4 linked regions of the Oreochromis niloticus genome follow. The main gene of each other region encodes a partner of the protein of the gene in region 3 in a complex. Links are inferred from orthologs where the notes say so. Each region holds a gene or a part of one and is shown on either strand. Other genes may lie near its edges.

Region 1 (7,920 bases), on a different chromosome or scaffold from region 3:
TCTACTTTCTTTTTTTGATAAATGCCTGAAATTTAAATTAAGCCGTCTATTGGGCTTTTACTAAAACCCTGAAAAAAACCCCTTCAGTTTGGATTTACATGTGTCTGGAGGTCAAAGTAAGCTCTCCTCTCTTCCATGCGCTCCCTGTTGAAGTTACTGTTGAACTCGGCAGCTTTTTTTGCTGCCTTCTTTATGTACTCTGGGACTTTGCTGGCCTCCACCTTCTGAGGGTTCTGCTGTTGCATTTGCTATGAAAGAACAAAGAATGTTAGAAATATATTTGGAGATGTATGCAGAAGATTTTCATTACACTTTAGATGAAAATATTGTGGCCCTACTTCTACAGGATCTTTTTTTGTTGCTTGTGAACTTACGGAGTACTCTTTTGCTATTCTCTGTCGCTCCCTCTCCTGCAGTATGACAGAATACTCTGAATGTTTGGTGGGATATTCCTTTATCATCAGATCGATCACCTCATCACTCCTCAGAGCTGTCAAACCTGAAGAAAAGGAAAGAAAAGGAAAGATGTTACCTTCTGATATCACAACTGGAACAGCGGTTGAGTCTGAGTTTGAAGGACTGGTTTCTACCCAGAGTGCATTGTGTCTCAGTGATGACATTCTGTTCACGAAGGTAGAGCTTCTCTTTGTGGGACAAGTCTCTCCTCTCCATATCTAAAAAGAAACAGAAAAGCACAAACCAACACCACCAGTTAATATCTTAGAGTAACTCTTTACAACAAAAAACAGATAAACACAAAAAATCTCACTTCTTACCAGGATACTTCCTCTTGAACGACGTGACTCCCAGATACTCGCTGACCTGCTCCTGCAGCATATAGTACTCTCCTGTATCGTCTGGTGGCCATTTGTATTCCGTCAGGTTTTCTGCTGGGAAATACGTCGGACTGGAAAGGAAGGTTGGAGGGACAACAGAGTTTGATGATTGGAAAAGATTTTGTGAGATTAATCTTAGCTGATATAGACAAGAAAATCGCCACTGGAAGAACTAAATAGACATCAATACTGACAGTTACAGCTTTTAGGGTTTATCATATACAAGTATATTTTGGGGATATAGTAAAATAAAAAAAGAATGTGACATATGGTAACAACAAATTTTCTGTCCTACTTGGTTGTCAAGAATGCTTGAAAATTATGCCAGTGGATGTTTCTTGCTGAATGCTAAACCAGCTTACCCAAGATCTTGACTTGAGGTATCACAGCTTCGAGAGCTGTCCCCTGAGCCCATTCTCCTTCTCTTGGGAGGTTGGCTGCCATCATTGGACACTTCTTCTATGACATCCTCCTACAGAGGAAAAGAAAAATCAGAATTAATTTTTAACATTAATTTTTAACATTAACATTACATAATGTGATGTTTGAAAACTCCAGAGCATGAAGTATATCCACAAAACTTTTAAGAGCTTTCTGATTTTGTATTGGACACTTTCATGACACAGAAATGAATAGAGCCCAAATTAATTTTTGCTTGGTAAACCTGAACCCTAGGACTCATAATTGCAGGATTCATCTTCCTGTTGCTACAGCAAATTTTAACATGTGATTCTGCAAGTGGTGGGCCCATCTGACCCACTTGGTTCCTGACAGAGTTTACATTCTATCATCGCGTAGGACCAATTTGCCTTGAGAGACCCCACTAGAAGCTCCCAGGATTACTTGGTTGACACCATGTTAATGTGACCTCCTAGATGAGTTGTTTCATATTTTAAGATAAGACCCAGGATGTGCTGGAAAGATTACTTCTCTCAGCTGGCCTGGTAACATCTTAGAATCCCACCAAGAAAAGATAGAAGAGGGGGCCGGGGAGAGAGAGGTCTGGGCATCTCTGTTTAGCTTGCTGTATCCACAAATCAGGCCCACTTAATGGCTGAGCAGTGCATACTTTTACTATAAATGAATCACAGAGTGTATTTAAACTGAGTGTGCTTTTCTGTATATGCTCCTCAGGCATGAGATAAAAATCACACACAGTGCACACTACTGCTATTTTAGACATGATAGTATTTCCCGGCCTGATGAAAACTTTTTAAACAACTGCAAAAGTAAACATTTAGAGATTTAGCCGGTTTAATACAGAGGGTTCATTTTGAAACACACTAAAAAATTATTTCAGATAAGGATATTTCCCCTCTTACATAAACACGAAGCTTTATTGAATATTATTGACGGTAGAGTTAATTTATAATGGTGCTAAATACAGACCAAAACAAATGTATGAGTTTACACGCCAAAGCTGGCTGACAGAAGGAGCACAAATTGTCAAATCACTTATAATATTACAACATTAAACGTCGCGTTTTTACTTAGATCATTCAAAAAGTACACAGACCAGATCACTGCAGATACATAAAACGAGGAAATTCAAACCGAACGAGCTAACTAACCAATTACTACACAGCTGAAAACAAAGGAGTGACGCTAATGTGGCTACTGATCGTCAATCATGGACTAAAGTGTCCCATAAATGGCCAGTTAGCTATTAGCTCAGGCTATAGCCGTGCAGAGCCGAGGGAACTGAGCTAACAGAGACTCATGTTTTTATTATTAGTATTATTAATATTGTTATGGCGTACAAATGTCACCTTTATGGATTGTGCTCCGGGGGTAGCGGGGTTGCTATCGCAGGGCGGCCTGACGGGGAGCACAGCAGCCATATTTTTTGCTAAATGATTTCTGCAGCTAGGCTAGCATACTAGCTCGTTACTTCTTCGTTGAGAAGTTTCGCGGCTGTTGGCGAGCGTTGAAACATGGCCGACACCTGCTGGACTGGAGGGCTGGCTTCAGGACAGGACTGGGACTGTGTGGTATAATTTTAATTATTATAGACAGTTAAAGTAAATTCATGGTCGTTACAATCTGCATAAATTAAAACTACGTTTGATGAGAAGTTTGAACAAGTTTTAGTTATATTAACCCTTACATGCTGTTCACGTGTCATGCTTTGACAACGTGGTTTAGGCCAGTTTTGACATAGGCCAAGAATTCCCTCATAAAAAGTACCTGCAACGAATTTTGAACCACACAGTAGCGGTTTTTGATATGGGCGACATGGGCGGTTGCCCAGGCCAACATCATGATGACATCAGGTGCATGTGGCTTTTGTCATAGAATGTTGAAAGATAAGATCAAAGGAACATGCCTCATGACATCAGGTGCATGTGGCTTTGATCATAGAATGTGGAAAGGCATAAATAGAAGCTGATCCTTAATTATACAGACATATTACTTTGCTCTACACAGAACATCTGTACTAAAGCAAAATTTAGCACAAGAGAATAACCACTTAAAAAAACAAACAAAAGAAAAACACCCAACGAAAACATGTCTAAAATGCCTGAAAGTGAGGAAAAAAACAGAATAGAAATGACAGAAAAATCCAGTGCATCTGGTGAAAGCAGTAAAACTTCTACCATTTGCCTGGCTTATGTCACATATGAGATACATCATTTCTCAAATGTGGGAACGCAAGAAGAAACATGCCTGCCAAAAGTCACACCAAACCCTGGCCAAAAAAAAGAAGAAATGAGGAATAAATCTAAAAGAGTAGGACGCAGCTGTCTCTGTGCAGTTCCTACTGGTTCTTTGCCTAAGTTACCACAGAAGCCAGCCTGCCGTACTGGACCAAAGCCAGCCACTGTGACCGTTAAAACTAGGATGGTGCCAGACAGGAAACGGACCCAAAATAACCCAAACCAACAAAACTTGAGCAATCTATCTAAAAGACCAGGAAGCAAATGTCCAGTTGTAATTTCTACTGGTTTGTCGCCCACTTTAGCACGGAGGCCACTCCCTGATATTCCATCAAAGGCACCCACTGTGAGTGCTAACACTAGGAAACATATACCAGTTAATCTCATGGTGCCAGACAGGAAAAGGACCCAAAATCACCCAAACCAACAAAACCTGAGCAATCTATCTAAAAGACCAGGAAGCAAATGTCCAGCTGTAATTCCAACTGGTTTGTCGCCCATGGTAGCACAGAGGCCACTCCCCCGTATTCCATCAAAGGCACCCACTGTGAGTACTAACACTAGGAAAAATATACCAGTTAATCTCATGGTGCCAGACAGGAAAAGGACCCAAAATCACCCAAACCAACAAAACCTGAGCAATCTATCTAAAAGACCAGGAAGCAAATGTCCAGCTGTAATTCCAACTGGTTTGTCGCCCATGGTAGCACAGAGGCCACTCCCCCGTATTCCATCAAAGGCATCCACTGTGAGTACTAACACTAGGAAAAATATACCAGTTAATCTCATGGTGCCAGACAGGAAAAGGACCCAAAATCACCCAAACCAACAAAATTTGAGCAATCTATCTAAAAGACCAGGAAGCAAATGTCCAGGTGTAATTCCTACTGGTTTGTCACCCATGTTAGCACAGAGGCCACTCCCCCGTATTCCATCAAAGGCACCCACTGTGAACGTTAACACTAGGAAAACTTTACCAGTTAAACATCACATGGTGCAAGGCAAGAAAGTAAGCTCACCCAGTAAATCTCTACCCAACTCAGCCAAAGACACCGTGAACCGTGGTAAGTCTCAAAACATGTTTACTGACAAAGAGGTTGTGCAGACTGCTGCTACTATGAAAGAGGAGTTGTCAGTACCAGTACTGTCAGAGAGCCCCTTTCATATGACAAAGAAAACATGCAGTCAGACGATATCGGCTCATACAGTTCAAGACTTGCCAATAGAAAACAACGAACTTGACAGGACAGATGCTGCTGAACCGATCACTGATGGCTCTTTGTCAACAAATATCTGTAAGGACAATGCAGAGGTTGTCAGTGCTGGAAGTGAACTCGAATCCACGGATTCTGAGAATCACGATGAAAAACCGAAAGGAAAAATCGGTTTCCAAAAGTTCAAAAGAGCAGTGACAAAACAATTTCATAGAAAGAAAAAAGCCACTGGAAGTGAAATGCAATCCATAAAAGGGAAAACACGCTTCCAAAACTTCAAGAGAGCAGTGAAAAAACAATTTCAAAGAAAGAAAATAGCCAGTTCAGAGGTGTCTGATGAGGAAAGTGCCTCTCCTGAGTCAATGTTGACTAATGATGAGGTTGTGCAGGGTGCTGCCTTCATGAAAGAGCAGTTGTCAGAGAGTCCCCTTGACATGACAAAGAAAACATGCAGTCAGACGATATCGGATCATACAGTTCAAGACTTGCCAATAGAAAACAACGAACTTGACAGGACAGATGCTGCTGAACCGATCACTGATGGCTCTTTGTCAACAAATATCTGTAAGGACAATGCAGAGGTTGTCAGTGCTGGAAGTGAACTCGAATCCACGGATTCTGAGAATCACGATGAAAAACCGAAAGGAAAAATCGGTTTCCAAAAGTTCAAAAGAGCAGTGACAAAACAATTTCATAGAAAGAAAAAAGCCAGTTCAGAGGTGTCTGATGAGGAAAGTGCCTCTCCTGAGTCAATGTTGACTAATGATGAGGTTGTGCAGGGTGCTGCCTTCATGAAAGAGCAGTTGTCAGAGAGTCCCCTTGACATGACAAAGAAAACATGCAGTCAGACGATATCGGATCATACAGTTCAAGACTTGCCAATAGAAAACAACGAACTTGACAGGACAGATGCTGCTGAACCGATCACTGATGGCTCTTTGTCAACAAATATCTGTAAGGACAATGCAGAGGTTGTCAGTGCTGGAAGTGAACTCGAATCCACGGATTCTGAGAATCACGATGAAAAACCGAAAGGAAAAATCGGTTTCCAAAAGTTCAAAAGAGCAGTGACAAAACAATTTCATAGAAAGAAAAAAGCCACTGGAAGTGAAATGCAATCCATAAAAGGGAAAACACGCTTCCAAAACTTCAAGAGAGCAGTGAAAAAACAATTTCAAAGAAAGAAAATAGCCAGTTCAGAGGTGTCTGATGAGGAAAGTGCCTCTCCTGAGTCAATGTTGACTAATGATGAGGTTGTGCAGGGTGCTGCCTTCATGAAAGAGCAGTTGTCAGAGAGCCCCCTTGACATGACAAAGAAAACATCCAGTCAGACGATATCGGATCAAACAGTTCAAGACTTGCCAACAGAAAACGATGAACCTGACAGGACAAATGCTGGTCAACTGTTCACTGATGGCTCTTTGTCAACAAATGTCTGTGACGAAGATACAACTGGTAAATCCCTACTCAAATCGGGCAAAGACAACAAAAAGTATATTGATGAATCACAAAACACAGTTTTCTCAGAGGTATTTCAGAAGGTATCAGGAGATCTCTATTCGCTAAAAATGCATATAGACTTTTGGAAAGCCAAATATGCCTCTTCTGTGAATGCTGATGAGTTTGTTGAAAAAGAAACCCAACAATACTTGCAAACGTTTTTTGAAAGGCGCCTGGCAGAGAGCTCTTGTGGTATATTAAAGAAAAAATCTAGTCAGACAACACCCAACACCACCTCTCCAGAGGCACCTGACGATGAAACTGCACGTCAGTCAAGTGGCTCTCCTGAGTTGACGTTGACTGATGATGAGACTATGCACGCTGCTGCCACTATGAAAGAGCAGTTGTCAGTACCAGTACTGTCAGAGAACGCCCTTGACATGACAAAGAAAACGTCCACTCAGACAGTTCAAGACTTGCCAACAGAACATGACGAACTTGACAACACAAAGGCTGGTCAACCAATCACTGACAATTCTTTGTCAACAGACAGCTGTGAGGACCACTCAGAGGATGTCAGTGCTGGAAGTGAACTAGAATCTATGTCTTCTGAGAGTCATGATGAAAAACCGAAAGGGAAAACACCTTTCCAAAAGCTTAAGAGAGCAGTGAAAAAACTATTTCACAAAAAGAAAATTGCCACTAGAAGAGAAGTGCAATCAACAGATTCTGAGAGTCAAGATGAAACACCAAAACGGAAAACACGTTTGCAAAAGATGAAGAGAGCGGTGAAAAAACCATTTCACAAAGAGAAAACCAGCTCTTCAGAGGCACCTGACGATGAAAGTGCACGTCAATCAAGTGCCTCTCCTGAGTCGACGTTGACTGATGATGAGACTACGCAGGCTGCTGCCACTGTGAAAGAGCAGTTGTCAGTACCAGTACTGTCAGAGAACGCCCTTGACATGACAAAGAAAACATCCACTCAGACATTATCAGATCAGACAGTTCAAGACTTGCCAACAGAACATGACGAACCTGACAACACAAAGGCTGGTCAACCAATCACTGACAATTCTTTGTCAACAGACAGCTGTGAGGACCACCCAGAGGATGTCAGTGCTGGAAGTGAACTAGAATCTATGGCTTCTGAGAGTCATGATGAAAAACCGAAAGGGAAAACACCTTTCCAAAAGTTTAAGAGAGCAGTGAAAAAACTATTTCACAAAAAGAAAACCAGCTCTCCAGAGGCACCTGACGATGAAACTGCACGTCAATCAAGTGGCTCTCCTGAGTCGACCTTAACTGATGATGAGACTACGCGGGCTGCTGCCACTATGAAAGAACAGTTGTCAGTACCAGTACTCTCAGAGAACGCCCTTGACACGACAAAGAAAACGTCCACTCAGACATTATCAGATCAGACAGTTCAAGACTTGCCAACAGAACATGACGAACCTGACAACACAAAGGCTGGTCAACCAATCACTGACAATTCTTTGTCAACAGACAGCTGTGAGGACCACTCAGAGGATGTCAGTGCTGGAAGTGAACTAGAATCTATGGCTTCTGAGAGTCATGATGAAAAACCGAAAGGGAAAACACCTTTCCAAAAGTTTAAGAGAGCAGTGAAAAAACTATTTCACAAAAAGAAAACCAGCTCTCCAGAGGCACCTGACGATGAAACTGCACGTCAATCAAGTGGCTCTCCTGAGTCGACCTTAACTGATGATGAGACTACGCGGGCTGCTGCCACTATGAAAGAACAGTTGT
Region 2 (7,513 bases), on a different chromosome or scaffold from region 3:
CTACTTCAATGGCAGTAATGACATCACGACATAGTTTGTAGCAGACTGTACCTTATGCATAGAATACATGCTGTCCTGAGAGTAATCACTTTGTCCCTGGCCCTGCATGCCATGAGGTGCATTGGGTGTTCCGGGTCCAGGGCTGGGGCCCATCATGCTGTGAACAGAGCTCGGTGAGGGATCTGGTCCAGGGCTGGGGCCCAAGATGGGCCCTGGGGACATACCCGCCCCAGGTGAAGGGCCAGGATGCGACATACCACCTGATGTCTCTGAGGGGCCGGACATCTACTGAATACCTGTGAAGGTACCAGACAGCTAGAGGAGGAAAATGAGAACAAGACTGATGTGATTTTAATTCCATGAAAACAAGATGAGGCACATACCATCAGAAGATGGATTTTAATATGTTAACTGTTGTTTGTGAACAACGTCAATCATGTTTATATGTGATAAAAGAATGTCGGAAACAGCCACTGAGTTAGTTCAACACCTGTGTGACAGTTAAACCTGATTATGATAACCTAAGAAGCTGCTCTTTATTGCATGACTCTTTTCTTGGGTGTAGTGATACTTTGTAGAAGCTTTTATTTCTGGAGCATTTCATATGCTTTTAAACTCTAAACATAATAATAACATGTTTTGAGTGTGTAAATGCACGTGTTTTCTAGAGATTATGTCTAAAGAATCTCATTTTAATTGAAATGCAAGCTGCATTTTTAACCTTTTTCGTTCCTCGGGCATTTTTAATATGGTGATCGTTTTGGCTGTGTTCTGGTTCATGGCATGCATTTTTGCAAGAAATCTTCTATTTAGTCAAATTTATGACATTTAGTGTCTTTTACTTTTACATGTCATTCATACCCTGTTTATGTATTTTGCACCCTTTCTGAACCTCTTGATCAACTTGAGCCCTTTTCAAAATTTCAACATTAAATTATTTTCAGGATTTTAACCCTTTAAATACCAGTTTAAACATTGGAATTATTAAGTATTTATTGAATAAACTAAATATTTTCCATATCATAAATAGTATGGGAATAGGACATTGGTGGTGATTAGAGTCTTGGGCATGTCAAACATCAGCAGCATTATTATTATAAACATGATTGCATTATTATTATTTTTTGTGTAGTGCCTGATAATCCTTCTCGACACCTTCGTGGACAAAAATGCCTCATTCACTTCCACTGAAACAACACTTTTTAATCTCTCTGCATCGCAGTATAAAACCATGCATTCTGTAATGTCAACATTTTATTTGGAAGAAAAGCAGTGATATTTGACATTTTTCACCATATTCAACCATTTCCCCACAGTAGGCCAATGCATGAAGTTCTTGTATTTTTGCCAGTTGTATTATGGATTCCTGTGACCACCAGGGAGCCCCAAGAGTGATTTGTATGGATGTGTGTGTGAAACAACATCTAATTCATCAATGGGAACATTTATTATGCAAACTGCAACAACACTGAAAACACAACAGAACATGTGAAATATGAACAAATATGAACCGAAATACCCAGGCTTTGAATATGTGATGTATGTGTGGCTTTGAGAGAAAGTCCAGTTGATTAAGCGATTTATGAAAAATTAAAGACAGAAAAAAATATTTCTTTATGAGGATTTTATGGCAGATTGTGTGTGTATTATTCCTTATTTATTATATCTTAACATATTGTATTGTTAAATAGTCTAGTCTTTTTGTTAATGTTACTGTACTGGAGCAACTGTAACCCACATAATTTCCCTAGGAATTAATAAAGTATGCTGATTATGATTATACATGTGCACTACACACACAAAAAAAAAAATCCATTCAAATCAGACTTGTTGCTGATGTCTGACATGTCCGTATCCCCAATTCTATCAATTATACGGAAAATAATTCGTCTTGTGTGTGTGTGTGTGTGTGTGTGTGTGTGTGTGTGTGTGTGTGTGTATGTGTGTGTATGGGGGGGGTAAAAACAAAATGCAGTAGTTCCAATGTTTAAACCGGCATTTAAAGGGTTAAAATTCTGAAAATCATTTAACGCTTGCTCATTTTCAAAAAGGTTAAAGTTGGTGATTTATGAAAACGCGGAAAAATTATTGCTGTATGAGGATTTTATGGCAGATTTTGTGCGTGTACATTTTTGTCCACGAAGGTGTGGAAAGAGGTGCAAAATCTGAGGAGGGCACAGGGTTAAAGGCAAAGCTCTCCTGCACAGAGAATAATAAAACCCGAGGCTGCATAAAAGGATTCTTTCATATAGAAAGAAGAAGCTGACATATGTCTGACGTTATGTTCTGCTTACAAGTGTCACTATGAGCCAGAAATTTCCAGGGTCTCAACAGCCGTAGCATGACTGACTTATAGAGCTGCATAGTGATTGCAAAACGTATCTGCACCGTTAGAAAACACAGCGATGTCATAAACACCTATAAGAAAAACAAAAAACATGCATAACAATCAGCGCCACGTAGATAAACGCTGTTGGAGGACCAGCGGCACTGTTTTCCGACCGTCCCTGTACAGTTACAGTAACGTTAGCTCGATCAACTGTAGAGCCCACTCTGATTGGATCATGGCTTCCCCAAAAAACTGGTGGCCATAACGGATATGCAGACAAAATCAAAGTTAAGATGAAAGTCGAGCACCTGACATGACCTCGTTAACATTTAAAGATGCATAATTTAACTTGTGTATCGCGTTTATAAACACGTGGTTTCACAAAAGCCCTAAATTCGGCCGTTTTTCGCTGCCACTTTGCTCGATCGTTGGGTAACTTAGCCATCTGCTAACGTCAGCTAGCATAGCCCGTTAGCTGGCTCTGGTTTCCATGCAGCGAACTGCGTCCGTGTCAGAAAGTTTGGGCAGTTAGCAGTTCCTAACAGTAGTTACACCTCAGTATTCATCAAAACCGAACCACCGTTAGTCGTTTTACCTTTTCGCTGGATTGAAATTGCAGATAATTAGATGAAATTTTTATAATATTTCTTCAAAATATGACTGCTGTCCATAAGTTCACTCCCCCTCGGTGTTGTTTTGCTGACATGTTTAAGTTGTTCTTGTGTCGCCATTACTGATTTGTCAATGTCACCGGAAGTCCCACCTACCTTAAACGGTGATAGGCTGAATCGCTGTCACTCTTGCCGTGTTGTTTTTGGGCGTGTGTCCGCTCTGTAACCAGTGCTGGAACTTTGAGAGCAGCAGCCTGGACGAATATCCCGCTCATGTAAAAGTTTATTACAAACGCGCGGTTCATGGTTTGTGTTGTAATAACGTATTTGATGCTGTGAGAGGCGTCCGTGCGCATCTGTCAGTGCTCTTCTCCCTGCCTTTAGAAATGAATACTTAAAAAATAATACTTTGCTTTTATAATTGTGTTTAACATCAGAGTAATTAGCAATTAGTTATACACACTGCACATATATGCACTGCACTGTGTGTATAATATGTATGTATGTAACGTATGTATGCCTTTATATGTTCTTAGTCTATTTCACTACAGCAGGAAAATATAAGCTCACTTTTTTATTGTTTCAAGTTTTAATTTAATTTTTATTCATATTTAACATTTAATACATGAAGCTTCAAAAGCACGCAGAGCAAACTTTATGGACAGAAGGCCTGATCCAACGTAGCATCCGTGGGATGGCGAGCTTTGGGCCAGTGGTGGGTCAGTCAATTCTCTTTTAAAGAAAACTGTCTGAAAGGATCCTAATAAATGAGTAGTTTTTTCTTACTGTCAGTATTTCACAGTAAAATACCAATAAGAGTCCTTCATTAAATCACCATGTGGATAGTTGATATGACCGTGACATGGCATGGTTATGGAGTAGTTACCGCTGTCACCATCCTTCACAGCACGAAGGTTCTTGGCTCAAATCCCGGCTCTGTGGATTTCACATGTTCTCCCTGTGCCTGGTGGGATTCCTCTGGGTAATCCAACTTCAAAACAGGGCATGGATGTGAGGCAGATAAAGTACTTTAATTGTATAGAATAAAGTGCTACATGAATATATGGTTAGAATTTGACTTGTAGTCTAAAAGTGGTCAGTAAGACTAGAAAGGTACTATATAAGTGTGAGTAGATTATAGTTTAATTGTGAAGAAAGGGATGCAGAGGGGTGTCTGAAGGGGGGCACAGCATTAATTCCACTAATACTAACAAATCATATTATAATCTTAAGTAATTCAATTTCATAGGTCAACAAAAATATGCAAATGTTATGCTGAACACTCCATGTCATGGTGAGGCTCCTCCCTGCTGTATCATCAGTACCTTTTCAGTGTGATTATGTTTTTTTGCTTTGTATTCTTGCTGCTTGTATTTAATGAAACGATGCTATCAGTCTTAGACTTGGCTATTGTTCCTCCATAAAACCATAAATACACATCTACATTAATGACGATATAAACAAACAACCTCTTTTCATGCAGATATCATTTAAATTCATACAACAGAACATAAAAAAATCTCCTGATAGCAAATAACAAATTACACACTTTTAGGGGGTTCCGTGAGGAGCAGCTAGTATATTAAAAGTGCAAAAATATGGAAAGGGATAAAAAGCATAAAAGCCAATAAACAGTAAGTTGACATTGTTAAACCTAAACTGAGATTAAACGTCACAGCATACATCATCTCGTGGCACTTGTACATATGATCAGTGATATTTCCTGCATCGCTGTCTTTGTCTTTCCACAATCAGACAAAACTGCTGCACTGAGTCAGCACAGCTCTCCTCTCCTTGAATCATCGTCTTCTTTAAAATATATCAATTAAGTGATTAAATCAAATCTAACTACATGCAGATGTTGCACATTTCATCTCATAGAACTCTTTATGTTGTTAGTTACTTTTTGTAGTTTATTAAAAAAAAACTCCTTCAGTTCATTTTTTTTACATAGTGCCAAATCACAACAACATTGCCTCTATGGACTTTCTCTAAAACTCCACAATATATGAGAGATCATGTCACTGTCAGCTGTCAGTCACAGTACACAGTCTGACTGCATTAGACACCACAGTGTTTGCACACTGTTGCTGTGGTACCATTAAAGCAGCTTAGGGAAAGTGCTCCTCTGTGCAGTTTGTCAAGTGAACACAAGATGGAGACACTGACCAGCGGATGCCTCAGTGAGCCGGCCTCCTGCTTTGACACAAGCACCTGTGAAGAACTGCATGCCTGGGCTCTAAACAAACACGCCAAATACAGAGTGATTGAGTGCTACAGTACACATTTACATTTACCAACTTAGTAAGTCTGACAATAGCAGAGTTTAAAGGCAAGCCATGCAAATAATGCACGGGTTTAGCAAAGCTCCATTTGCATCCTATTGATATCAGAAACTGTGTTTTGTTTTCATTATGAGAAGATAAAGCTGTTTTTACTGAACAATGTTTATTTAAACTCAGAGTAGATATTATTTTTTTCTGTATAGTACAGTTCATAATTTGTCTGCATTTACATGAAGTGTATCTTATCCAAATGAATTAAAATAACGATTAATAACGATTACAGCCTATTTTAGCATGGTAATATATTCAAAATATTTCTCTGGGATTTCTTCCAGGCTGACTCTTTCTACACACTGGTGCTGTCAGGCTTTCAGAATCACTCAGGGAAGTAAATTATTTTAACACCCTGTTGGCTTTGTTTTAATACACCCAAAACTTTTTGGCAGTCTTCTGCTGAAGAGGAGAAATGTGCATGTGCTAGAAAGTTTATTAGAAAGTTTATATTTCTCATTTTTTACAGTAGATAAAAAATAAGATCCACCAGATCCTACAAATATGCACAAAACTCGTCTGTTTTAGGATTATTTTGAAACGTAATCAACAGGATTTGCAATAAATATCAAATATTAAAAAATGTTAATGATTATTTTTCAAATTTCAGTCTTTTGAAAAACTAATTTTATTCGATGTGAACTATCTGTGCGCGAGCAGTGACACTTTGATGACCTTCAAAGGTATTCAAAGCCCTGACCAGCCATCATTTGAATGGCCTGCACCCCACAGATCGATAAACAAAGCTGCTCACGAAACTTTGTCCTAACGTCCCCTCCTTAACAATTCTGCCCTTTCTTACGTGTCCTTATAAAGGATGTGCACAGGGTTCCTGAATGTAAATTTTACCCAAATAAATAAACCTAATTAAGTTTGTGGTGAAAGCCACCACCCCCTTCAAATTCACCGAGCCAGGAAAGGGCTTGGCCGCAGTCATTTGTCAGTAAAAGGACTAGTGGTTGTGGCTTCCATTCACCTTGAAACCCTCCGTAAAAGGCTTCGGGGAATCACTGGCATGACAATTTATTCAAAGTCTAAAGGTTTTTAAATAAAGGGTCAAACAAAAGAACATTCAAGCAGAAATGCAAAGAAGGGCTCTTCAATTTTGTCTTCTTTGAAATATCCTATTTTGCTTTATTAGTCTCTTTAAAGGCAGAATGGAACCTGAATAAAGAAAAGCACATGTGAGAGTTTTACTGTTTAAATACCAAATATTTACAGCAGCAATTAGAAGCCACTTCTAATCATTTTTGATAGTAAACGAATAGGTTTGAAAGGTGCTTCTGTTTCTGGTACCATTCAGCATAAAATAAAGTTTCTGATTATTCTGAAAGATTATTATAATTATAATTATTATTATTATCTTTCTATATTTTAATAAATCAGGTTTGGTTGGTCTTCAGACTGCAGAATGCTGCTGCAGAACTTTAAACTGGCACCAACAGAAAATCACATATACTCGAGTTTTGGCTTCTCTTCATCGGTTGCCAGAAAATTTTAGTTTGAACTTTTTGGGCCCTTCATGGTCTCAGCCCCCGAGTTTATCTCTGACATACTCAAACATCAGGTCTTCAGGTACGAGGCTGCTGCTGCTGGCCACACTTACTCGGTTCAAAATTTGTGGGGATCGGGCTTTCAGGGAGAGAACCTGGAATTCACTCCCACTGACTCCACTGACTCTTTCAAAAACCAACTGAAGCCATTTTTAAACAAACAGGTTTTTAATTCATTTGTTGTTTTATGTTTTATTCTATTGCTTTACATTGTTGTATGTTTTATTTTTATCTCTTATTTTATACATTTTACTTACTGGCTGACTTAATAATAGTGAATTAAAATCAGTTCAATAGTTGATTAATTAATGGTTAAAACATTTTAATATTAGATGTTTGGCTGTCATGGCAACTATCTTTTAAGTGTATCTTGTAAAAATAAATAGTCAGCAAACCATCTTCAGTGTTGCTCATTCACTGATTTATTTTATCTTCATTTAAATGTGGACTACTTTTAATTTGATTCATCTGTACAAACAAAGCATGCACAGCTGTATGAGGCTCATATATACCAGAGATGCTTAGAGACGTCTCTTTCAATCACCAACCCATCATATAAAATACAAAACTGATTCCCATGGCCTCACAAATGACTTTATTGACCTCAGTGAAAATTCCAAATGAAAGGAAAAATAATTTCGATTGGAAATGCAAGATATTATTTTTTAAATGTCACATAAAACG
Region 3 (7,772 bases):
TGGGCATATATTTACCAGTAAATCTAGAGCCTTCCTTTCAAGCTCATCTATGTTTTCATTAGAATCAAAGATTGCAGCGTTCACTTTATTGCTAGAGCCACGCCACTTCTCCAATAACTGGACAGTAGTGAAAATATATGCTCTGACTTCTGATAATATTCCCTAATGGAATAATTTTTCTGTGAGCGAAAAACTTGTTGTTTACGTGACCAGATTAGGATTTGTCAGATAACTATAATTTTCAACACATTTCTCTTCATGTCAGTGTTGTATTCTAGAAATGAGAAGTTACTTTTGTAAAATGTTTTGATCAGAGTTACCAAATGCAGTAACGTCCAACAACATACGAGTACAGAGATGAGTCCGCTCCCAGAGACAATAAAGAGATCATTAGTAACCTTTGCTAGTCCTGTTTCTATGCTTTTGAATTATGAATCCTATTTTTTCTTTTTAGGCTGGACAAGAAAGTTGGATCAAGTAAAGGCTTCTGAATTAATGATTTAAATACTTCCACCTTAAAAGCCTTTAGCTTCTTAAAAAAAGATGAACTGATCATATTTAAAATCAAAGTATTGATTAATGATAAAGAGTTCTTTATAGGAATGTGGGCTAACAGATGTATTGATAGTGTCACTGAAGGCCTTACTGAAGTTAGTTCATAGAAATCAATAGGAAATAGTGCTGTCAGCGTTAATCTCGTTTATACAATACAATAGTATTTCTTTTTTTTGTTTTAATTTAAATTAAAAAAATTCATGAAGCAAACTCTTTGTCATCATGGTTACAGTGATGAACAGTAATGATAATAAATATCTATTATTAAACTGCTTTAATATCAGCTTGAAAGTTTGGATACCAGAGTTTGGCGATAGAGCTGCATACCGTGCAGCTCATGTAGTAGTTCACATTCTCACCAGTTGGAGCGTGATATCCGTAGACTTCCACTTCACAGAGTGCGAGGATCCTTTGTGAACCAGGAAGACTCAAAGTTACATAACGCCCCTCCACACGACCAGCGAAATTCACAGTGTAGGATTTGCCTGCACCAACTTCTGAAATTTTTCCAACCCTAACAAAAAGTGTGTGAGAAAATACAAGTTACCATGGCAGCAAATATCAGAACATTTGATAGTCAGCGTGATCATTTTCAATTAGTGGAATTTGCTGACAAAATTTACAAAAACTGTAACCTGATATTCTCTATTTTAATATATAATAGGATGATTTAATATAGGAATCTATTATAGGGAGTGCCAATAAAAAGAATATGGGCAGCTAACAATGTCAGTCCTACAGCAACCTCTCCTGTTGCCGTTCAGGAAAAACAGAAAGAAACAAACACTGCAAAGGTAAAAATGAGTAAAATGCCAAATCACAACATTGTTGCTAATTCCTTATTGCTCTATATTTACTAACTTTGGGTTTATTAAGCCATCATTATTCAAAGAGTTGCCTATGTGGATCTCCAGCCCATTGAGCCTTTCATGACAGCAGTCTCCTCTGTTGGTGATGGTGAGGGAAGTGACAATGTAGGGCTCGAGCAAGTCCACTCTCCACCAGGGGTCGGTCTGTTGATTGGTGTGCGAACATGATCCATGGCGAAGGTCAGAATCACGGTTTCCATCAATTGCAGCGTAGGCAGCCGACAATACCTCATTGATACGGGTTGACTGGGTTGCTTTGCCACGCAGGGCCACATTTTCTGGAAATAGCAGAATGCAAATGAAAGATATCATGGAAGGACATGCATTCAAGCAAGCAGCTGAAAATGAGCAGCCATTCAAATGTACCTCATTTAGTCACTTCCTCATGTAGTTAGCTTGATAACTCTGTTTACAGTAATACAGTGACTGTAGTATATGAACATATTTGGATAGGCATATTTGGTAGAGCTGCACAATTATCAGCAAACACAACTGGTTAGTTTGCTTAGTCAGCAAAGACTACCTATGATTCAAAATGATTACATAAGATGCTGAATTTGGTGAGCCAAAAGAATGGTTCGAAAGAATGTTCTTACTGTAGAAACTGAAAAACTGACTCCTTAATGTGTTTTTTGGAAGGTTTTTTTTGACATCCACATCTCACGTAAGACAATGATGTTGCTTAAATGTCTCATTTAATAATTTGCATACTTGTGGTAAAGGAAAAATGTTTTTTCTTACTTACATGAAACATTCAGCTCTAAACTCTAGAAACTGCAGTGACTGCAAATAACTAAGCATATTATACTTTGTTAAGTTTCTGTTACTTCACTCTCTATCTCTACCTGGTGATAAACACGTTGCCTCTTATTATTACACTTCTTTTTTTTTACACATAACTACTTTTCCTTACAAAAAAAGAGTCCATATACATCCAGATCATACTTACGATAGGTGCGTGCTGAGGACATCCCCAGGAGAAGGAGCAAAACCAGTGCTGAAATGTGTTTCATTGTTCCTACTGTTCACACTGAGAAAATAGAAACTTACATATTTTTTAAAGCCTAAACTAAACTTAAACAAAAATAAAACGCATTTATTTAAAGTAAAAACAAAGAGTGACCCTCTTAACCCCCTTAGAGGATATTATACGTCTTTAAATGAAAACTACATACCTTATAATCAGACGCAGATGAGGAGCTGCTGTTAAGGATTGTTACTTATATTCACATCCAACCAGGGCACATGAGCTTTGTTTTTCAATAAGCCACCGAGGACTTTGTCCTTTTCCTTATAGAGATAAGGCTCATTTCAGCTACCAAACAAGATAGGGTATTGGCAGTTCCTGATGTTTTGGAAAAATGCATTGGTAAATGTATCTCTAAGGTTTATGGTACCATGCGTACTAAAACGTAAAAAGGAAAAATGATGTAAAAATAGAAAAAGTGGCAAGATTAATAAAAACAAGAACAAAACATTTCACAAAGACTTTAGAAAAAGTAAAATGGGTTTCATATACTCAAGCCTATCTCAAGTGGGTTAAATCGTAAAGTCAATCTGACCCCAACCTTAGTAATAAACTGACTCGCTTCTGGTATATTCAGTTTTCAACAAATATAAGCAAAATATGAAAATTTATGCTGAATATGCCACACTATTGCACTATTGTAATTTATTCTCATTTATAGGGCCGTGCTAATATTCTTGAAGCAAAAAAAGAGCTCCTGTTCCACTCCCTGTGCTTCGTGTACAGCTTTTTCTGTTGAATATAAAGGATTTTGCTCACTAATCTACCAGATATTTATCAGCTGGGGTTTGAAATTCCTAGTACTGGTATCATAAAGTGCCGTTATCAGCTCAGCTTGGATTTAAACAGTACACCCCTTTTACTGGGCACATGCCACATTTTTTATCTCTTGTGCTTGATTAAACTTGTGATGGGTTTTAACAAACTACTTTTTTTTTTAAATTAGTGGATTTAATTAGACTAACAGAAAGAGAGAAATGTAGAATGTAGTGCAATTTTACTGTTCAACCAAAAACAAATAAAGTAAATCAATAAAAAATAAAATAACCATTTCACCACTTTTTGGAAACACTTTCTTAACTTTTAGATGATATGTTAATGTACTTTATTTACAAGAAGTAAACCTATGTGAAGACAGCTTTATTCTCTTATTCTTGAACAGACATAGATAGATAGTTGCTGAAATCTACATGTTATTGAGGTTTTATTTACATCACGGTGTAGTCATGTAAACTTGCTCCACCTCCTGGCTCTGTACAGACACAGGCACAAACTAAGCTGAAAAGAGTCTTGTATTACCTGACAAAAAGTAATCTCTCTTGTTTGTGCAAGAGGTTAAATCTGACCAAAGCTGGTAGGCAAAAAAAGTGTCACCACAAGATGGCGCCATCCTGACTGCTGCTCGCAAACAGTCAAGTTTGTCTGTCAAATTACATGAAAATAGTTCATTTATACTGCACCAGTATAGACAATAGCTTTGAAAAGTAAGAGTGCTAATTTAGTACATATAACCCCCCCTCCAAAAAAGTAAGACTGAACTCTCATATAAGTCTCATATTATGTTTGAGTAGTTAAAGCAGGGAAAAAAATCTGTAAGCAACACCAAAAAAATTATGTGAATTAGTTTACATACAACTTTCTGTTTTGTTACTATAATGTGGCTACTTGGATCTTGCTGGCAAAAACACATTCACTGGATTATAAAAGTTCATACGAAGATTCAAATCTATATGTTGCAGGAAAAAGTATCAAACCACATGAGAACAACGGACAAGAGTAATATAATAATAATGATGATAATCAAATGAATGAATAAATTTTAGACTTTAATCTTAGATTTTTTTAAACAGTTTTTTTTCCTCTTAGTTTTGTGAATTTATAACCATAAAGAGTACAAGATTTTTCTTTAAAAATGTACTATTTTAATTTACGTTTTTTGAAATTTTTGACTTGAATTTTGGAAATTGATATTTTGTACTCCGCCAAATAACTTATAATGGCTATTATTAAGTTATTATATCAACCCGGTCCCCCCTTTTTTTTATTTTACATACCATGGCCCCAATACGCCGTCTTACTTTTAACACAAACTACCTAAAAAAAAACAGGAATAACCTTCTCAGGTGCCTACATATCCCATGGACCATCTGATATTCAGGCTCGCGAGACTTCAAAATGCTCAACACGTTTGCGGCTGCGCAATGTCATTCGAAAACTTGCACGCTGAGGGACGCCGTGGAGGAGAAAGACAACGCAGCGAACAAAACACACAATGGCGACGGCGGCGACAACGGCAGGCGGAACGGGCTCGGGCGGACCGACCACTGGCCCCGTCGGTGGTTTAACCGCAGTGGGACGAAAGAAAGATGGTGGTCCGTCTGCGAAATTTTGGGAAAGTTCAGACACGATATCCCAGCTGGAGACTGTGCGACTCTGGATCGGAAAGCACTACAAGAAGGTAAGCTAGCTGCCCGCTCCTCCATTGATTTCTATGAAGGCCCGCGTCTCGCTAGCACAAAGGGGCGCTCATGTTTTAGTTAGCTGCAGCCACCCAGAGCTAAGTAGAGTTAAGTTTTAAGAGTGCTTCTATATAATTTTGTTTGGGAGTTCACCGTCAGTATACTGCCCATTGTCCTAGACCGATAGAGTTATCAGTTCTTGTTTATCAAATAGCTATAGTTAGCTCGCTAACTGCCCATTCAATGTTGCTACTAATATGACGCTCAGGGGGGAAATGTTTACAAACGAGCGACACATAGCCGCGTATAATTTTTTAACCCGTATGTAATAACTTTCTCATTAAAAAGAAATAATAATAAACCAAACTTTCTTATTAGTTTTTCAAAAGGCCCGAGATGCTAACCTGTATGTAAGTCACGGGACATACCATGCAGAACTTATAATATTAGCTAAATAAACCCCAGCCTCCTTTTTATGCCATCTTAAAAGGTACTTTACTTAGAAGATAATTATCTACTTCACTGCGTGCTGTTTGCAGGCCCAGTCCTGTTCCATGCTGTCAGTGTGTTTAGTTTTGTCAACACAGCAGCATAGCACACCGTGCAGGTTGCACTTGCCTACTGAATTAGCCAAACAAAGAATGCTCCTCTTGTCACATCAGGCTCTCATTCAAAACCACTGACACGTTGTGCCCGCTCAAGTTATAGCAGAAACATTATTCAAATGAAATGGCATAGATAAGGGCTTGTGAGTACAGCGTTTACACGCAGATGTATATTACAATATTTAATATATAAACTTGGCTTTTTTTAAGCATATGCACTGTTCAATAAATTTGCCTTTAAGAATAATAAATACATCCTTTTGTTGTTTTTTGTTGTTGTTGTTGTTGTTTTTGCAAAGATATTTATGTGAGTTATTTGAGGCCATATAGCAGTGGAAGGTCTTCCAGCTTTAAATGTACTTTGTTGCTGTTGACTGTGATCTTTCTGGTCAGTGTTTAGTTGTTGTGTTGCATTAATTTTGCATAGACTAAATCTAAAATAAGCCATTGAAACCTTGTGTCATTATTTGGTGATGCAATAGTATATAAATGGGATTCACTAACATTGTCTCTTGGATTACATTGATTTTGCACTGGCTAAACCTTAAAGGATAAAGTCATGACTTGATTTTTAAATTTTTTTGGTCAAGATTGATTCTCTGGAGCAAAAAGATCAGGAAATAAATACCATCCAACTATCCCTCTTGTCCTGCTGGAAACAGGACTTGGATTTCAGGGACGGCAGTCTAAGCAGAAACCTGTTCCCATGCAAGGCAAAAGATATAACAAGTTTAAACAAAAATCATTAGTCTGTTGACTCTCTAGAGCTGCAACTAACAATTATTTTGATAGTCGACTAATCTGCCTAATTATTTCAGTAACTCTTATCTCTGCTTCCTGTAGCCAAACCTCCTGTTCTAGGCTGTAGTACCTCATCTGCTCAAGTCTGCCCACCTGTGAATATCACCCTGTTGTTTTGTCCCCCAGCAAATTAAAATAATGATCCAAGAAACGTTTGAATTTCAAAATAATCAAATGTTTTTTAACATTACTCAATAGTTTTTATATGATTTGGTTCATGAATTCACGATTGGACATGCTCTGGAGAGAGGCTTGCTCTTATCTTTGTGATGATGTTCCCAGCTGCTGATAACCATGCTAATGATGCTCTCCGTCATGACTTAAGCCATCTGAGATGTGCATGAGCCTCTTTACAGGACTAACTTATCTATACCCCACTGCTTAATAATAGTATAGCAAAACAAAACAGAATTGGAGCTCTAGTAAACAACTCTCGTGGCTGCTCATATCATGGTAACAGACTTCTTTTTATTATTTTCTTTTATTACTTAACACATCACAGTAACATAACTTGTGTCGTGTTGTGTTGTATGCAATGTCGTTGTGGGACAGTTTTCCAATTTCATTGTACTATGTATGACTGTGCAATGACAATAAAGAGTTATCTTATTATCAAATGAAGAAGCCCATTCTCAGACTTTTGAGCATTTCTTTGGAATTAATTCATTTAAAAAAAAAAAAATCTAAACCCTTGTAGGTTGTATTTTTCTGTCTTTTGGCCACCTTGATTTGCTTAAAAAAAAAAAAAAAAAAAAGACTGCTAGATGAGATGGGAATCTGTGCCATTGCTATCATGTTACTGATAACTTTTTTCTGTGCCTACTTCCAGTACGTCCAGAATGACTCCCCCTCCAGTAAATCCCTGGCAGGTCTCGTGGTCCAGCTGCTGCATTTCCAGGAAGACGCATTTGGGCGAAGAGTCAACAATCCTGCTCTTACAAAGCTACCTGTAAGCATACAAACATTACATTCTACGAAAATCACCATCACAGTTTAATCCCAAATGGTAAAATGTTCTGTTCTTATGGTTCCTCTCATATCTTCAGGCCAAGTGTTTCCTGGATTTCAAGGCAGGAGGTGCTCTCTGTCACATTCTGGGATCTGTCTACAAGTTTAAGAGTGAGCAAGGCTGGTAAGTTAACTTATGTAACTTAATATGAGCAGATGGGTCTGACATTGATCATTAACTTAAACCCTCCTTTTGAAGTCATTGGTCTTAGAAATATAATTTGAACTATCTCAGTTGTGCATTTTGAAGATAAGCAAAAATCTTAATGGTCTTGTATTTTAGGATGTTGGTTTATGGAGTTAAAAACAAAAAAAAAAAACATTTGCATCAGTTGATGCAAATGGTGTGTAAAAGCCAATACACATAATTTAAGTTATATTTCAGTGTATACTTGGTGATTCTACTACCTTGAATGACTTTATTTGTCCCCCAAGTTGAATATCTGAG
Region 4 (7,391 bases), on a different chromosome or scaffold from region 3:
TCACACCAACATGACAGATATTAGAGTTGGTGAAGGAGAGGGGGGATTTGTAAGAATGCTTAAAACCTATGGTTACAGTGCACTCATTATGATTTTTCACACACACGCTGCTCTCAGGTTTTAGGAAAGAGGAAGGAAGAAGAGTAGCTAAGAAGCAAAGTAGGTTTCTCTTCACCAAAAATGGAAAAAGAATTAGCACTTATGCATCCCACTGAGGAGGTAGTTAACATCCATGAGAAAAGCAGAGGATTCCCATTTTAAAAGAATATTGTTCTCTACTGTGATTCAATCACAGAGACAGTAAAAGATTGCTGTTCTGAGATGGAAAACTTGAACTATTTGGATCAAACTAAATGAGAAAAAGCTCAGGAAAGGTGGGGTGTGGTTATAATAACAGTCCATCCAAGGTGATTAGGTAATCTGCAAACACCCAGCGCTGGAGATCAGTACAGTTTCCAGATCAACAATAATAATAATACAGGTATGACACACACTTCTCAAACATCTAAATATTTACATAATTTAGGAATTATTCATCTTTCCTTTTTTCAAAAAAGTGACACATTTCATAACAATGCAAAAACAATGCAAAGAGTTAAAAAGACAATTACATAAAGTAAAATTTCAAGCCTCAAAGAATTTGACCTTGTGCTTTCAGGTTTAGGTTGAGCATACGTTCACATTTAAAGGACCAGTTCTAGCTCTTGTGTGTAGACAGTGTTACTGACTTACTTGCAGCTGAGACAGAGAGCTGAGCAGGTGAAGTATTCATCTGGGAAGAAGGAGTACAGTGTCATCTTTTCATCTGATAGTTCTCCACAGAAACGTTCACTCAGAGCCTGGGGAAACAAAAACAGAACGGATTAGAAGACAGAAAACTAGATGGGAGCTGAAAAAAAGGCTGAGGAGACACAAAGGAAGAATTAAAACAATCATATGCTTTTTCTTAAAGGCCTCTAATATGGTGCTTCTTCACTTACTTCTAGTGCGTGAAACACTATTGCAGGCTGGCGGGGGGACCGGGTATGAGTGTTCTTCACTTGCTGCTTGATGGCCTCTAGCAGCCCGCTATAGTTCGTGGGCGGCGTGATCGTCTGAGTGCCTATGTACTGCACTGAGCTGAAGGCCTCTGTCCCCAAACCCAGGTCATGAAAACGCTTCTGGAGGAGTGTGTCTGCATAGCCGGCCATCTTTGAGTCTACAACAGGAAAGAAAGACAATAACATTTAAATTTGTGACACGGGAAATTAAAACCAAGGGAAATAATTATCCTAAAGTTGTGCTTGGAAGTACCTTGGCCCAGGAGTTGCGTGTGTGTTGTTTCCTGGAAGATGATGACTGCAGGCCCCAGAGAGGACAGGGGTACATCCAGACCACAGCGGGTGGACAGGGCCCTTAGCTCTGGGGTGAAATGCTTCAGGTATGCCCCTGAGGCACTACTCAGGAACTGGAACATGTCATTGTGAAGACGCTCTGCCCGTGTGCGATACACCACTATATCCGACACTGCCAGCACCTGAAATTGAAATAAAAATGTATCTACAAATAAGATGACTTGTTTTTATCATGAAAACATTGGAAATGAGAAATAAAATGAGTTTCACTGTTCTGTTTACATGATTAGGATATAAGCATTACCTCAGTAGAAAAATTAACGAAGACAACACTAGAACTCAGAACACAAAATCACAGACTCCTCCAATTATTCCACCCAAACCAAGCAGCAACCGCTAAATTTACCTTCAGCAGCAGCCGCATTCTCTGGTTCTGATTGGCTGCGGCTCCCAAGAGGCCCTCTGTATCCAGCGCAATGAGGCTGAGAGTGGGGTTGTAAGCAGCCCAAACTCCCACAGTACAGGAGCTGGGGGACTTGGAGGTGTAGAAAACAGTCTCGCCATCAAATAGGACGTGGTTGAGCGTGTGAGACTTGCCATCACCGGTGTTTCCAAAGATGGAGAGGACCTTGACGCCCGCTACGTCAGCACAGCCAAGTCGCTCCACGAACTCGGCCTCATCCCGGACCTATAGGATGAGAGGAGAAAGAGCACCAAGAGACACGCTGGTTACAGAGATGAGCTATTTTGTGGCACCGTGATACAATTGAGCAAATTACTTTTACTGATTCTTTATGAACAGTATTATTTATTTAAAACAAAGAAACCAACAACAAAACAAAAAAAAGAACTGCGGGGGATTAGTCGCTTCAATCTTAACGCTAGTTGTTCATACAGATTATCTTAAGTACACAAGAAAACATTATCTCTTGTACTTTGTAACACAGTGTGAGGGTGTCTTCCATGTGGGTCAGCTGTGCTGTATGACTCACCAGGGACTTTCCTAATAACAACCCTGTCTGCTGTTGTGCTGCTCTTATTTACAGCTTAAACTTAATGTTTTTCACAGTATTATAATCAAGACACCATCCACACGTTAAAGCCACGGGCTGTATACAGACAAAGGCTAAAAACACAAGGGGCTAAACACGACGAACATCCAAACACGCTGTTTAACGTCGCATTAGCAAAGCGCCGTGAAGTAGCTAAAGCCTCAACAAACTTGCTTCATTAGCTTCAAGACAAAAAGCTCGATTTAGCTCTGAAAGCAGATTTGGCTCATCCAACATTTTTTTCTTTTCGTCACAAAAGATAGTTAAGGGCCTTCCGTAACAAGAGTCTTCCCCTTTCTAGCCTAGCGGCTAACTGTTAGCCGCCGTTAGCTCAGCTGATGTTAGCTAACTTTACCTGCAGGTTTTCTTGCTCGTCCACGAGCAGGAAGCTCCGGCCGCCGTCGTCGGGTCGGTCCTCTGGCTTCAATGGACTGATCGACAAACTATCCATTTCTTTCATCAGTATATCGGACATCGTTGTTTACTTAATTGAAACGCATTTGTGGCAGCGGCACCAAACAGCAAAGCGAAAGTTTCACATGACGCCTACCTGTCGGTCAATCACAACAACAGCGCGTGGACTATAGGAGGAGCCAGATGGGGGCACGCAGGGCAGCGACGTAAGACGCGCTTGTTTGACTTTGGTCTGTACATGAGCACCACCGTGTGGTCAGCCGCAATACAGCACCTCACATGCCATTCAACAAACTTCCTTCATCAGGGAATGAGAAAGCATAAAATAAAACCATGTGGACCCATGTGCACGGTCTTTTGTAGCCTGTAATATGTATTTTTTTTCTTATTTAAGATTAATGATGTAAACCAAACACAAATAACGTTCATCTACCATTTCTTGCTACGTTAATATAAAATAACACATTTATTATTCTTCACAACTAAAGCATAACGCACAAAATCAAAGTTTCCTTAACTGACAGAGAGTGTTTTATCGGAGCGGTGCTGCCATGCTAGAGCTGCTTGCTAATGTTCATTAAATATTTGTTAGCACAGATCTATAAATATCACATGTCACTGGCTTCAGAGCGGCGCCACTGCTGCTAACATGACATGGAGAAAGAAATTCCAGCATTGCTGCTCTAACGGCTCTGAGTCCTTCCTTCCTTCCTCCCTCCCTTCCTCCCTCCCTTCCTTCCAATGTCTAGGGAATGGAAAATGCCAGCCCAGGCTTTGGCATAGTCGCTTTTAACACCCTTGTCTCTAGCCTGTGTCAAATAAAATCGCCATCTGGGACAGATCCAGCAAAAGATGTAGTATGGGCAAGAAAACGAGCGAGTGCGGGAAGGATGCAATAAAGGATGGCGTGGTTAAGGATTTAGAGAGGGTCCCAGCCTTTCTCCGGGCTCAACTATGAGAGACAAATGTCTGAAAGAATCAATTATAGGCCTACTCCCAACCCATCACCCCTGATTAATGAATAATTAAAGCTTCTCATTGCAGGGCTACCTAACATCCATGAGACTAGCCATGAAGCCGCTAAGATTGCGCAGAAACAACTTCTCTTGATTTTCAACAAATGACTATACAGACCTGTCACAGTTTCCTTAACAAAACAGGCAAACATCTTTGTATGCAGTTAGTTTGTGCTTTTTGCTACTCGAGTATCCAGTTATTCCCTTTACAGTGCAGTTAAGGTGATACCTGACCCAAATTTGCACCCATATCCACAATCATACCTCTGTAAACAAACACAATTTAGTGTTTAGCAGCTATAAGAGACAGAGTCATCATCACATCCAGACAAGGGAACGATGCTTATAGGAGAGACTGACAGACAGTCCTGCAACCCAACCTTAACATAACTGTGGTGGATTTTTTCTTCTTCTTTCTTTTCTATAAATTCGGATGGGGGGTGTGGGGGGGCATTGCCCTAACAAGTCCGAGGCGGGACCGTGGTCCACTTAAACCGCTACCCCCCCTGGAACTTGTAGTACTGTGCTCCTCGGTGCGTCTCATGTTGACATGCATAAAAACTACACTTCCCCAAAGCTGTCACAGAGCGCTCCCGCCTCCCATTGGCTGGCCGCTCCAGCCGCAGCCCCAGAGAATGAATGAAATTGAAATAGCTGCTACATTACATGTACAATACCGGGCTCTGCAGTGTTGCATTCTATCATACTATATCAAAATGGCCACAGCGGTACAGAACCCCCTCAAATCGTAAGTACAACACGTTTCCTGAGTGTTTGCGCTTTTTTCGGGCATTGTGCATGCTGTCACTGTCAATTTAAGCCCCTCAATTTCCCACATATTTCCCCAGCATGATTACCAACGCGTCTATATGCATGCAGTGCATACAGCGGAGAATGAGATAATGTCAGGAGAGGCGAATGAGCCCCGGAGAAAAGTTAGATTTAAAGCTGATGGAGGTTTCTGGGAGGTTTTTTGGGCATGAGTGGTGGGGGGATTATTGCGCGCTCCGATGCAATTCATATAATCATTTCTCTGAGCCAACAGCAGCGTGTGTGCAGGGATATGGAGGAATGCTGGAGGTAGATTTGGGTGACCCGGTATGTCCCTTGCCAGTGCAGCCAGCCAAGATCACGGCCAAAGCCGGGCTGGAGTGGCAAGGCTGTCCGGGAGGAAGGGGGATGGTTTAGATGGCTTTACAGTACCTGTGTGTATATTTTGTTGAAGGGGGGCTGAGAGGGGGTAAACAGGTAGACAGAATGAAGTGCTCCGTTCCCGGGTTTTTAGGCTGCAGCGTTACCTTTACCGCTGGACCTCTTGGAAACGTATAGTGCGAGGTAAATAACGCTCCTCCAAGACTTGCTTTCATCTTCGGCGCTTAGAATAAAGCCTGGAATCCAATCCAAAGCCCGGCGCTTTACATTTAGTGCAGCTACATCACAGCGGACATTTATCTCCACTGACGGACGTTAAAGCGGCGGGTTTCCCCGTGAAGTTTCTTCCGCGATGATCCCCTTTGTGCAGTTTTTTTTTGGGGGGGGGGCGGGGGGGAGAGTGGAATGTCTTTTTTTTGTTTTTTTGTTTTTTGTTCTGAGACTGGTTTCAGCGGAATGCAGACGCCTGCTGCCCGCCTCGGCTCCCGGCCAAAAAGGTGGCTGATGTGCGTCTGTCAGCGGGTACACACGTTCAGCCAAAACAAAAAAACAAAAAAACAATAGCTCGAGTACCTTGGAGTGTTTGAGCACACAAACGCTCCAGCTCAGGCAGTTTGAAACAAAGAAAAGTCACAAGACCTATGTGCCAAAGGAAGGAGGGGGGGAGGCACATCGGATGCTGTGCAGGTTTTTTACCTGAGCAGGGAGATGGGATATAGTGTCTGTCTGTCTGTCAGCTTCTCCGAGAGGCGACATTTCGCGCATTTCCATGAACGACTGCCCTGTACGTGCCTGCTGTGAAAAGCTCCTCACACGAGAGAGGGAACTGGATTTGTAACGGTGCTGATTGGTCAGCGAGCCCTGATTGACTGTGATGGTATTTTGGGGGTGTTTTGGTTCAAAGTACTTGCGCTACAACGCAACGCAGGGACCACAGATATAACGCAAACACGCAGGAGATGAATCATTTATTTTTGGTTTATCTATGCTCTAAAGGGCAGGTATGTGGCAATGCCGATGACGGGAATGGACGGGTGGAAAATGATGGAGGCTCCTCTCCTCTCCTCCACAGGATGCTCATCCAAGCAAAGAAAAAGTGTGTCCAGATTGTTCCCAGAGGCCCTCAGTGGCACCATGTCAGGGGATTAAATTGACTCATTTGCATGGAGTACACACCAAGACACACAGACAGAGAACACAGGGTTTGGGTACGAGGAGGAGAATAGAATGGGTGGAAAAGTGTACAAAAGACAGCAGAGTAAGTGGTTAGAAAGAGTGACTAATGAACTACAGCCCAATTTTGAGTGGTGGTCTTACACTGATTTCTTTTTAAGTGCTTCAAGTTAGACAAAAACCTCCATATTGTTAGCCAGTATCAACCCTGCAGGGATGTTGGATTCCCTTAAAGCACGTGAGAAGAGGACAAAGCTGGATGTATTTATTTATTTATTACACAAGGCCACAGCAATCAAAGCGGCCTTTAATATCTCACCAACTGCATAAATGCCATCATTACGCAGTGTGGGTTTAACTGTGTTCCAGTTACCGCTCTGCAATGGGCTTTTAAACAAGCCCTTGTAATTAGCATGTCTACAAACAAACTTGCTATTAGAGGCTTACAAATTAGGGACCCATCCAGTAAAATGGGCCAAACAACCAGCAAAATTGGGTTCAAAGTCAGCCCTAATAGGGTGGCTGAGCCCTGCGCGCCTGGAGACGACGCCTGTTGTGCCCATGAATGTCCCCAAACCTTGCTGGATCTCTGCGGTGAATTGGCATTAATTCAGTGTATATAAATCTTTGGGAAGCTGCTGGTCCCCACTGTCCAGCTGAGTGTGAGTGGGACACTGTGACAGCCAGTATACGTGCGTGGAGGTACGGTGGAGGGTTCATGTGCAACAGCAAATGAGGGGAGGAGAACACTGAGCTCCATCCGATCTGCTGGGCATTTCCCTACCAGCCCCTCTCCCTGTCTATCACTCACTCTCTCTCTGCTGGATTAGACTCGTTTATAATCTCTCTTTCTCCCTCCCTTTTACTTCCTCTCTGTCCTCCCATCACCCTGCTGCCCTCTCTTCCACTATATGCCTCCCTCCTTCTTCACCACTTTCCCAATCCATCACTAGTTTTGCCATCTCTCGTTTTTATTCAGCCATCTCCTTTCTCTCTCTCCCTCTCTCTCATTTTGTTGTCCATTTTCCTTCTTTTCGGCCTCAAACCATCTGAGCCCTCTCCCCTCCCACCACTCTTCTTTACATTGTGAATCAAGGCATGGCCACTCTTTTAATAAACTACATCGATGGGAAATTCCTACGCATTCTCTCAGATCCCTCGAAACCCCGTTATATAGCTTACAGCTAAGAGTTCCTTAAGATGTATCTACTGTATATTTGGGCCATCCACTGCCAAGAAAGGGCTTTTAG

Evidence for each region. The genes of interacting proteins can lie anywhere in the genome.
Region 1: smarcc1a (region 3) and phf10 share a complex: the UniProt entries of both Homo sapiens proteins name them as parts of the neural progenitors-specific chromatin remodeling complex. The link is inferred for Oreochromis niloticus from reciprocal best matches to the Homo sapiens genes SMARCC1 and PHF10.
Region 2: smarcc1a (region 3) and smarca2 share a complex: the UniProt entries of both Homo sapiens proteins name them as parts of the BAF complex. The link is inferred for Oreochromis niloticus from reciprocal best matches to the Homo sapiens genes SMARCC1 and SMARCA2.
Region 4: smarcc1a (region 3) and dpf1 share a complex: the UniProt entries of both Homo sapiens proteins name them as parts of the neuron-specific chromatin remodeling complex. The link is inferred for Oreochromis niloticus from reciprocal best matches to the Homo sapiens genes SMARCC1 and DPF1.

What each region holds. Positions count from the first base shown.
Region 1 is NC_031965.2:25,545,109-25,553,028, forward strand, and holds the start of phf10 (PHD finger protein 10), read right to left. Parts: upstream 3,079-7,920; 5' UTR 2,944-3,078; intron 2,821-2,943; 5' UTR 2,678-2,820; coding exon 2,597-2,677; intron 1,309-2,596; coding exon 1,199-1,308; intron 908-1,198; coding exon 777-907; intron 675-776; coding exon 591-674; intron 500-590; coding exon 375-499; intron 249-374; coding exon 99-248; intron 1-98. Other genes in the region: mucin-17-like, read left to right, coding at 3,345-5,397, 5,788-7,920. UniProt on the Homo sapiens protein: Involved in transcription activity regulation by chromatin remodeling. Belongs to the neural progenitors-specific chromatin remodeling complex (npBAF complex) and is required for the proliferation of neural progenitors.
Region 2 is NC_031977.2:35,623,581-35,631,093, forward strand, and holds the start of smarca2 (putative global transcription activator SNF2L2), read right to left. Parts: upstream 3,079-7,513; 5' UTR 2,925-3,078; intron 316-2,924; 5' UTR 286-315; coding exon 52-285; intron 1-51. UniProt on the Homo sapiens protein: ATPase involved in transcriptional activation and repression of select genes by chromatin remodeling (alteration of DNA-nucleosome topology).
Region 3 is NC_031976.2:31,814,500-31,822,271, reverse strand, and holds the start of smarcc1a (SWI/SNF complex subunit SMARCC1), read left to right. Parts: upstream 1-4,645; 5' UTR 4,646-4,723; coding exon 4,724-4,909; intron 4,910-7,145; coding exon 7,146-7,265; intron 7,266-7,362; coding exon 7,363-7,448; intron 7,449-7,772. Other genes in the region: fucolectin-1, read right to left, coding at 915-1,069, 1,417-1,702, 2,374-2,437. UniProt on the Homo sapiens protein: Involved in transcriptional activation and repression of select genes by chromatin remodeling (alteration of DNA-nucleosome topology).
Region 4 is NC_031979.2:8,686,695-8,694,085, forward strand, and holds the start of dpf1 (zinc finger protein neuro-d4), read left to right. Parts: upstream 1-4,313; 5' UTR 4,314-4,358; coding exon 4,359-4,564; intron 4,565-7,391. Other genes in the region: si:ch211-11n16.2 (zinc finger FYVE domain-containing protein 1), read right to left, coding at 733-839, 981-1,198, 1,294-1,516, 1,741-2,022, 2,742-2,861. UniProt on the Homo sapiens protein: May have an important role in developing neurons by participating in regulation of cell survival, possibly as a neurospecific transcription factor. Belongs to the neuron-specific chromatin remodeling complex (nBAF complex).